Linked DNA regions of Caenorhabditis elegans. The protein of the gene in region 1 purifies or fractionates together with the protein of each later gene. This does not show direct contact. Each region holds a gene or a part of one and is shown on either strand. Other genes may lie near its edges.

Region 1 (5,346 bases):
GAGATACAAAAGATTGTTGTGAGTAAAAAGAAACAATTTTCAGTTGGATGACTCTAACATTGATCGTTACACGTTCTACACTCCATTCTACTGGCAAACCTACCGCTTTGCCGCCCGTCGCCAACTGTATGTGGACCCGATCCCACATAGTTTGGGACACGAGTACGCTCCATTCTGGTCGAGATACAAGTGGTACACTGATTGGCTCAACCCAACTTACTGGAGACGTTATCGCGATCCCAACTACGACAGACCACTCTGGAATAGCTGGAGACCATGGCAATACGACACGTACTGAACAGTTTTGTGGGAGGGGGTGAAAAAATATGAAAAATTTCAGAAAGAACGTGAAGACTGCAATTGATTTGTACAGAAACGGATGCATTGATTTCAAAACACTGGACAAAAAATGGATTGAGCCAACCGCATTGGGACGTCGTGGAAAGGACTGGTCAGATGTTTACCTGCCAGCCGGTTAGTTGAATTGAATTGTTTCAGACTATCACCTTTTAATTTCAGCTCGCTATGGAGCTCATCGCTACTTCTACTCTTTCTCTTAAACGCAAAGCAGTATGTGACACCATTAAACGAACCCCTATAAATAACGACCGCTTAAAAAAAAAAACTAACTGTAACTTTTCCATGTCTTTGTATAACGGATTAAATCATCATTTTATTGCTTAAAACATAAAGTTTGAATTTAAAATTGAAAAATTAAAAGTTTTCAACAATATTTGAAAATGTACAGTTTACCCATGTGTTTGTAGCCCGTGGAATGCGCGCACCACACTTTTTGTGAAGTCAGTGAAGTAGTTTTTTCACTTTATCATTGACTCCCTCCACGACAAAATCATTTGTTTCGGTCTGGAAAAAAAATATCAAAAATAGAAACTGATAACTATCCGGGCAAAGTATAAAAACACAGGCGCTATAATCCCGTTCTGTTATCACTTACCAATTCTTCTATCCTGTTCAGTTTTGGTTCTTGTAGTTTTAGCTGTACGTGCATATCAACAGCCAAATTTTTGACAGATTCAAGTCCCTGATCAATCTGCATCAAGTTTCGTTCCAACTCATCTTCTATTGCGTCACATGTTAGACTGAAAAAATTACGGAAATTGAAAAAAAAAATTAATTATGTAACTGTAATCTACATTTCTGCGACATACGACGTGGCTGTATGAATGTTCTAAATATTTTTAAAAACTTAAAATATAAAATTAAAATATAAAACACAAAAATATATGTTAAGACTAAAAAATCTTAGAAAATGGAAAATCAAGTTACGTAGACGTCATAAAATGTTAAAACATGCAAGGGCAAATAGCAATTTTTAATATAAATTATTATGTAATCTAAAAAACCAAGTTTCAAAATGATTTGTTTTTTCACATTTCTCAAATTTATAAGCACCAGCTTTCAGCAGCGGTTCAGTTGGCAACATGCAATATGGAAGGAACATTTCATTTTTTTTTTGGAATTTTTGAACTTCCATAATACATTTTAAAGAAAACTCTTATATCTCGGTTGTTTTAAGTTTTAATCGAAAATTGTTATTACTGAAATATAGAGAAAAATGTTGCTTGATTAGATTTTGATAAAACTAAATAGCATTGAAAGGGAAGCTGTCACTGTAAAGCAGAAGGCAACGGGCATTTCTAATAGGAAAAATAGGACAATAAAAAATGTTTCCAAAAAAAGTTTCTCCGTCATTAAAGACAATAATGCAATGCCAAAAACAGACATCTACCTTTTCTTGCCGTTTTCTAGAAGTTTTTCGCAAAAAATGTCCAGAAACTAAAATATTTTCCATTAGCACTAATAGATCAAGGAAATTACTCGCACCACTCGTGTTTAAAATTATAAAGTTTGAACCAATATTCTACCTACCGTTTCATAAAATCCCCGGTAGACTCCCTTCGCTTGCTGGAATTCGTGAACATCATCATGTTACTTTCCTCTTTACGTCGCAATTTTGGGCTCGTCATTTTTCTGAAAATTTAATAAATGTGTTCCCATGCAACCGAGAGCACTCTATAAGAGCCGCGTGTGTTTATGCTTACTCTAATACTTCTTCCTTTATGATGTCACGCTCTCGTTTTCGAAAATACTTGAATGGCGCGCTGAAAACAATTTTTATTACCGTGTTTGTGTCGATTTATTCGAAAGTCACCAACCGGAGAATTCGAAAGAAGCCGCATCCGCAATAATGCTCCATTGCTGTTATGTTATGTGAAACAACATTCAGATCATCGATGACATTGCTGAGATTCGCCTCGATTTTGTCAAGCTGTTCTAAAAAAGCATCTGAGTTAGGTAGCTGTTGGAAACATCCTACAAACTAACCGTCTTGATCTTCAAGAGCAGCAGTTGTCTGGACTGCATCTACATTCATTTGATCGATATCTCGGATCATCTGTATACTACTGTCAAGACTCTGAAAATTTCAAAACATTGCAGGGTTGTTACAGTAACCTCACGGGTACAGTAGTTTTTACTCTTATGATTTCTAGTGGTCTTTAACGAAACATCGTAATTTGTTGATTGAAAAATATAGATAAAAACAAGCAAAGGCAAAACAACCACGTGTTCACAAGAATTTTAATATGCACTAAAGTATGCATTTTTGACATTAAGTAGAACTATTCTTCATAGAAAATTTTTAGGAAAATATTTTTAAAAAACCCCATTTGATGGCACTGAAAAATTTCATAAAAGAGAAAAATTGCCAAAAAAACGGAGGCAACTTCCAGCTTACCGACAGTTTTTGTGGCTTCCCTACATTTCTCAGCTGAAATGAAAAAACTTTTTGATAAATGAGAAAATTCCCTAGATTCTATCACTAATTTTGCTTGAAAATGTCCGCGCACCCCTATTTTTAACTAATGTTTCCAAAATTTGTTTCTTTCCTAATCAATTATTTATGGTTTCATCTAAAAACGTCAATGATTTTACTAAAAAAGAAACAATTTCCAAGCTGGCATTTTTGACATCTCAATTATGTATTCAGAAGCGGAAAGAGCATGATGTGATTTTTGTTTTATTACATTACGCACTTGTACGTTCAATTTCGCTATTTCTGCATCCAAATCCACCATTTTCAGTTTAATGCGCTTTTGAACTGTTTCTTCTGTTGGAAGAGCAATTGGCTCTGGAATTCTGCAAAAAGTTGGAGTAATGATTTATTTATTAGTTTAGAGAACTTACGAATCAATGGTTTTTCTAGCCATTTTTGCAATTTTTTGATTTTTGATGAAACTCTCAGAATACGGAATCAGTGTCAAAATCGATAATAAAAAAGAAAACGGTGTTATCACACTTGGCTCTCATGTTTCTTATCAAAAATTCCATTAATGAATTTCAATTGTGTCCTCCCCCTAAAGTGACGCAGAGTTGATCGACATAAACGCAGTTATCAAATTCGGAGGAAACGGAAAATTTCATAACTTAACACACTCTGTCCCTATAATGTTTCACATTCCAGTCGTGACCATATTGACCTACATTTGTGTTTTATCACTATCGTCACTTCTTGACTTTTTGTCAAAGTGCACGTCGGCATATCAGCTGATAACTAATCCTGTTAGGAAGATGCTTTTTTGCTGTGGATATTCTGATTAAAAGTGGACTACGGCATGTGAGAAAATAATATTAAAAAAAATTCCTATATTGACCAAATTAATAAAAATTTTGAAAAATGTTTTTAGTCAAAATTGGTTAAAACTGAATTTGCTAAAATTTTTTAAAGTCTTCGTTCAAAAAATCGAAATTTCGTCCAGTTTTGGGTTCAATTAATGAAGTGTGTAATATTCATACTGAAACATTGCAGGGTTAGAATATTTGGCAGTGATTCAGATTTCTCAAAAAAATGCGCAAATCAGGTCGACCATTTTTTTTACAAGAAAAAAATATTTCCAAAATTAAATTTTGTTGGGATACTTGTTCATTTTTAGCATAATTTGAATGGCTTTAAATTATTTTCTCACAGGTCTAATATTCACCAAGATATCAGACATTAGTCTTATGTTAGAGAACAATGCAAAAAATTGTAGCGGCAGCATGATACCTGAGCCAGTCAGAAGTTTTCGTTATAATCCTAAAATCCAGTTTTGGAGCATCAGTTGCGGAACATTTACTGATAATTGTATTCTTTGGAAAGGTCTATAAGCTTATTGAACGGCAATTTTTGTAACATTTTATTAGCTAAAAGATCTTCGATGTATTTCCCATACAATCAATTTATTGCACAAAAACGATTTTATGGAAAGAGTGTTATCATATTTGGGACTAAGAAGAAGCAATTGGGATGAAAGTAGCTTGATGTTCGCTGGAGTTTAACGACGTCCCAATCCGACAAAGTAGTTCCGAGCGTCCAAGTTGTACCCGACTGTCTGAAAAAAAAATGGAATATTAGGGGAATGTTGATGATCGGATTCTGCGTACACTTCTCTTTCCAAAGCTCATTCGAAAGCTGTTTGGATCCAAGTTGACTCGTTTTCCAAACGACATGCGGAACGCATTGGCATCCATACGTTTTTGCTCAGGGAGTGAAAAGTCATCATTCACGTACTCGACCTGATCATCGGCGGCTTGATGAGCATCCTGGAAAAAGAGCAACTAGACACCAGCACTAATTAGGGTCGCAATGAAAGACGACGACAACGTACCGAGCGTTTTCCAAACGACATGCGAAAAGCGTTGGCGTCCATGCGCTTCATCTCCTCAAATTTGGTGTCGTCGTAGAGCTTGTCGGATGTCGCTTTGTCTTCCTTATTAGCTTGCTCATTCTGCTCGGCTGATCGTTTCCCGAAGGACATTCTGAAAGCGTTTGGATCCATTCGTTTTGCCTCTGCTGGATTGGATACCTGAAGCTAATTTTCATGAAATGTTTCAAAAAAAAGTCAAACTTACGCTACGTTTGCCAAACGACATGCGGAAAGCATTTGCGTCCATTCGTTTTGGTAGGAGATCGGCATGGGAAACAGCAGCTATCACAAGAAGACATGCCAGCACGAATGTGGCTTTCATCGTTGCCTCAAGTTGATGTCTGAAATGTCAGGAAATATATGAAAAGTACAATTTAGGGAAAACATAAAACCATGCGAAATCGTGGAAGGCGGGGCTTATGAGTGTTGAGAAATTGACAATTTTTTGCAATTTTAGAGGAGAAAAAATGGGCTGGACTTTTGAGTGGTTTCTAAGAAATAACCTTTTTTTTTGAAAATATAGGGCCGTTGGGAAATGCAAGACAAAACTGAACAACTGAACTACGGTTTCTTGGTGTTCGTGCATGACGAAAATGGGACAGAGGAAAAAATTTAAACACTTCCGGAAAGAAAAACATTG
Region 2 (5,142 bases), on another chromosome or scaffold:
CGAGATGACAAACTTTTTGGTGGCAAAGGTTCTTTGGGGGCATAGTATCCAAGGAGACAAAGGATCCAGTAGACAAACTGGGGTGTATCTTGGGGGGCATATCTTTGGTGACAACCTTTTTTTCAACTAGATTTTTATATGTATTTTTCAACTAATTTTTGTTCACATTTTTCTGGAATAAGATTTTTAATGCAATTTTCAATCGATTTTCGGTTATAATTCCCTCACAATTGAATGTATGAACGATGGTCTTTTGGGAAAAGCTGTAAAACGTCCAACTTCAGCTCCGAAGGATCACATGGGTACCTTCTGATGTTCTGATCCTTCAGATAAGAAGGATCGTAAGGGTACCTCCTGATGGTCTGATCCTTCAGATCCAAAGGATCATGAGGCTCTTCCTGATGTTCTGATCCTTCAGCTCCAAAAGAACATGAGGCTCTGCCTGATGATCTGATCTTTCAGAGCCGAATGATCACATGGGTACCTTCTGATGATCTGATCCTTCGGCTTCGACGGATCATATGGATTTTTGACAAAATTTGAAAAAAAAAATTTTGAAAAAAAACTCGAAATTTTTTTTGTTATTCTTCATTCTTTAAAGAATAGTTCAAATTTATCATGATAGGACCGAAAACTTTCAAGAAACAGTATAACTATACATGATAATCAGCTTCTACCAAATAATGATAAATTCTCCGCGATGACAAACTTTTGGGTGACAAAGTATCTTGGTGGACAAACAAAAATTACCGAAAACTGATGTAAGGAATAGTGAAATAGAGTCCTATGGACTATTAAACATGTTCAGTAGGTGTATTCAGGACTGTCCGTCAAAATAAAAAAAAGTTTGTCAGACGAAGTTCGAACCTGGGACCTGTAGGATGCAAAGTGCGCTCACTACCACTACACCAGCTATGCGAAAGTCGGCGAGCCTCATCGAAGGCTATTATAAAACTTAGTTCGCACGAGTATGATCGACATTCAACAAACAGTAATATCTCTCAACAAGAATTTCTTCATGGAATTGAGGTCATTTGACTATTTTTATCGGTTTTTCAAGTTGAGCATAGGGTCTTTTAATTTTTTGAGCATAGAAAATCATGAAAGCTGCCTGTTCCTTGTATCCTGGATCAAAATAGACGGATCTGGCCTAAAATATTTCCTGAAAAGTGATCATTTCATGTCCATCGTGTGTTTCTCTGTATTTTGAACCAGAAAGTTGAACAAAAATGATAATATTATATCGAAAAATGGAACAAATAAATTTTAGGCCTAATCAAATTTTTTCCGGATATTGTTTTTTTGTCATGATTATATGTTTTTAAATTTTTTATAATGTGTTTTATAATTAAATTCTTCATTATTTCCATCGTAATGTCCTTTTCGATGCAGAATTTGCATTAAATTTCATTGACAGTTTCGTGCGTCAAATAGGGTGCTTCATACGCAAACGCCAAAGTACGCAAACACCGACCGTATACCGTATTCATCGAAACGAATTAAATTTTTTGCAACATCTATTTTTCAGCTCGAACTGTTAAATTTTGCTTGAAATGAAGGAAATAATGACGAATTTTGTTATAAAACACATTATAAAAAATTTAAAAACATATAATCATGACAAAAAAACAATATCCGGAAAAAATTTGATTAGGCCTAAAATTTATTTGTTCCATTTTTCGATATAATATTATCATTTTTGTTCAACTTTCTGGTTCAAAATACAGAGAAACACACGATGGACATGAAATGATCACTTTTCAGGAAATATTTTAGGCCAGATACGTCTATTTTGATCCAGGATACAAGGAACAGGCAGCTTTCATGATTTTCTATGCTCAAAAAATTAAAAGACCCTATGCTCAACTTGAAAAACCGATAAAAATAGTCAAATGACCTCAATTCCATGAAGAAATTCTTGTTGAGAGATATTACTGTTTGTTGAATGTCGATCATACTCGTGCGAACTAAGTTTTATAATAGCCTTCGATGAGGCTCGCCGACTTTCGCATAGCTGGTGTAGTGGTAGTGAGCGCACTTTGCATCCTACAGGTCCCAGGTTCGAACTTCGTCTGACAAACTTTTTTTTATTTTGACGGACAGTCCTGAATACACCTACTGAACATGTTTAATAGTCCATAGGACTCTATTTCACTATTCCTTACATCAGTTTTCGGTAATTTTTGTTTGTCCACCAAGATACTTTGTCACCCAAAAGTTTGTCATCGCGGAGAATTTATCATTATTTGGTAGAAGCTGATTATCATGTATAGTTATACTGTTTCTTGAAAGTTTTCGGTCCTATCATGATAAATTTGAACTATTCTTTAAAGAATGAAGAATAACAAAAAAAATTTCGAGTTTTTTTTCAAAATTTTTTTTTTCAAATTTTGTCAAAAATCCATATGATCCGTCGAAGCCGAAGGATCAGATCATCAGAAGGTACCCATGTGATCATTCGGCTCTGAAAGATCAGATCATCAGGCAGAGCCTCATGTTCTTTTGGAGCTGAAGGATCAGAACATCAGGAAGAGCCTCATGATCCTTTGGATCTGAAGGATCAGACCATCAGGAGGTACCCTTACGATCCTTCTTATCTGAAGGATCAGAACATCAGAAGGTACCCATGTGATCCTTCGGAGCTGAAGTTGGACGTTTTACAGCTTTTCCCAAAAGACCATCGTTCATACATTCAATTGTGAGGGAATTATAACCGAAAATCGATTGAAAATTGCATTAAAAATCTTATTCCAGAAAAATGTGAACAAAAATTAGTTGAAAAATACATATAAAAATCTAGTTGAAAAAAAGGTTGTCACCAAAGATATGCCCCCCAAGATACACCCCAGTTTGTCTACTGGATCCTTTGTCTCCTTGGATACTATGCCCCCAAAGAACCTTTGCCACCAAAAAGTTTGTCATCTCGGAATGAAGGCCAAATTTCAATGAAAATTCCTATTTTTAGGGCTAAAAACTAGCGGAAAATTCGAAATTTTCAGTGAAAATCCCCCTGTTTTCGAGCTAAAAATGCACGGGAAATTCAATTTTCATCCTAAAAAAAAGCAGCACCTTCGAGCTTCTTGAGCTCCGTCGTCGCGGCGATCACATCGACCAAAGTGAATCGATTTTTCATATTTTTCCAGTTTTTGTGCTGAAAATTGGGCTGAAAATCGGAAAAAATTGGGCTAAAAATCGGAAAAAATTAGGCTGAAAATCGGTAAAAAAGTGGGTAAAAACCTCGAAAAATCGCCGAAAAAATCGGAAAAAAACGACAAAAAGTGCGGGAAATTTGAATTTTTCAGTGAAAAATTGGGGAAAATTCGAGAAATTGATGACAAAAAATACGCGTAACATTGGGAAAAGTGGTTGGTACCGGAGGCGAGAAAAAGCAGATTTTTACAAAAAAAAAAACATGAAAAATGGGTATTTTAGGTGAAAAACAGTGAGAAAACAGTGATTTTTAGCTAGAAAATGGGTATTTTTTGGTGGAAATTGAGTTAAAAACTCGGAAACTTTGACATTTTTCAGCTGAAAATATATGATTTTTGAGGTGAAAATCGCCAAAAAATCGGGGTTTTTGGGTGAAAAATTCAAATTTTTAGCTAAAAAATTAGCAAAAATGGGGGGTTTTGTGTAAAATTTCAGTCAAAAATTCGAATTTGAGGTGAAAAAACAGTGATTTTTAACAAAATTTACGTGGAAAATGGGGAAAAATGGATATTTCAGAGGTGAAAGTTGAGAAAAATTGGGAAATTTCAGAAAGGTTTCGGGTCGGAAAATGAAGAGAAAAAGAGGTTTTTTAGACGAAATTTGAGTGAAAAATGCGGAAATTTTCGAATTTTTCAGCTGAACATATGAAAAAATTCGAGAAAATTGAGATTTTTGGGGTGAAATTTCAGCCGAAAATCGAAATTTTTCGAAGAAAATTGGCAAAAATTCGACTGTTTGGACGAAAAATTCGAGTTTTAGGTGAAAATTACCAAAAAATTTTAAATTTTGGGTGAAAATATTCGAGGAGAATGGGATTTTTAGGCAAAATTCAGGCAAAAAACTGCGAAATTTCAGATTTTTCGGTATGAAAATTGGCAAAAATGCGACATTTTGGACAAAAATTCTAATTTTTAGCGAAAAATTTGAATATCAGGTGAAAATCGAAATTTTAATTGAAAAAGTGGCGTTTTTGTGCCAAAAAAAAAAAATGCTTTTTAGAGTGAAAATTACCCGAAAATTGAATTTTTTTTTTGGATGAAAAATAGAGATTTTAAGCAAAAATTGGCATCATTTCCAATTTTTCAGCCAAAAATTACGATTTTCCGGGGAAAATGGGCATTTTTAAAGAGAAATAGGGGAGGATTTTCCGGCTAAAAGTTGGATTTTTAAGTGAAAATGGGTGTTTTTTGAGAGAGAAAAATGAATAATTTAGGCGAAAATTGGCTGAAAAATGCCATTTTTTTAATGAGAATTTCGGGAAAAAATGGCAAATTTTCGGTTTTTTCAGATAAAAAAGCTCAAAATTTATGAGATTTTCAGGTGAAAGGTATGGGCATTTTTGAGAGAGAAAAATGAATAACTTAGAGGAAAAAGGGTAATTTTAAGGGGGAAAATGAGTGAAAAATCCGTGTTTTTTCAAGTATAAAAAGTGGAATTCAACGAGAATTTTGACAGAAATGGGAATTTCTTCATAAATTCCTCTCTTTTTCGGAGTTCTGCAGTCTCGTTGATCATCGATGATATCTCGTCGGCGGCGGTTATGAATGAATCGGCGGTGGCTCCGGCGGTTATCTGGAAAATTGACGGGTTTTTCGGGTGAAAATCGGGTGAAAAATCGATAAAATTCGGTAAAAATTGGAGGTTTTTCAGGTGAAAATCAATTTTCAAAAAAAAATTCAAAAAAATCCACCTTTTTGTGGAAAAACCAATAAAAAAGTTGCAAAAATTATATTAAAAACTCAAAAAAAAATTAGCGTTAAAAAACGATAGAAAAACTGAAAAATGTTGGTTTTTTCTCAGAAAATCTATAAAAACCTCAAAAAATTTTGGTTTTTTGTCCAAAAATTGGCAGAAAATTCCAAAACTTTTCGATTTTCAGAGTGAAAATCAATGAAAAATTCAAAAAAAAATCAACTTTTTCGAGTAAAAATC

The links. Proteins that work in one complex are often made in the same cells at the same time.
Region 2: the proteins of aex-4 (region 1) and Y82E9BR.18 purify together in Caenorhabditis elegans (affinity purification with mass spectrometry, with the first as the bait; one large-scale study listed by BioGRID). This does not show direct contact.

Annotation. Positions count from the first base shown.
Region 1 is NC_003284.9:3,727,275-3,732,620, reverse strand, and holds aex-4 (t-SNARE protein aex-4), read right to left. Parts: upstream 3,341-5,346; 5' UTR 3,231-3,340; coding exon 3,208-3,230; intron 3,160-3,207; coding exon 3,057-3,159; intron 2,438-3,056; coding exon 2,347-2,437; intron 2,296-2,346; coding exon 2,178-2,295; intron 2,124-2,177; coding exon 2,064-2,123; intron 1,993-2,063; coding exon 1,891-1,992; intron 1,101-1,890; coding exon 956-1,100; intron 865-955; coding exon 802-864; 3' UTR 660-801; downstream 1-659. Other genes in the region: tag-18 (uncharacterized protein), read left to right, coding at 44-291, 341-474, 520-560; nlp-1 (Neuropeptide-like protein 1), read right to left, coding at 4,335-4,391, 4,444-4,602, 4,668-4,865, 4,912-5,028. UniProt on the Caenorhabditis elegans protein: t-SNARE protein which regulates the secretion of aex-5 from intestinal cells. Involved in the defecation motor program, which is a coordinated series of three muscle contractions that occurs every 45 seconds.
Region 2 is NC_003281.10:1,480,345-1,485,486, forward strand, and holds the start of Y82E9BR.18 (Nuclear export mediator factor NEMF), read right to left. Parts: upstream 3,164-5,142; 5' UTR 3,134-3,163; coding exon 3,070-3,133; intron 1-3,069. Other genes in the region: Y82E9BR.19 (F-box domain-containing protein), read right to left, coding at 4,627-4,782.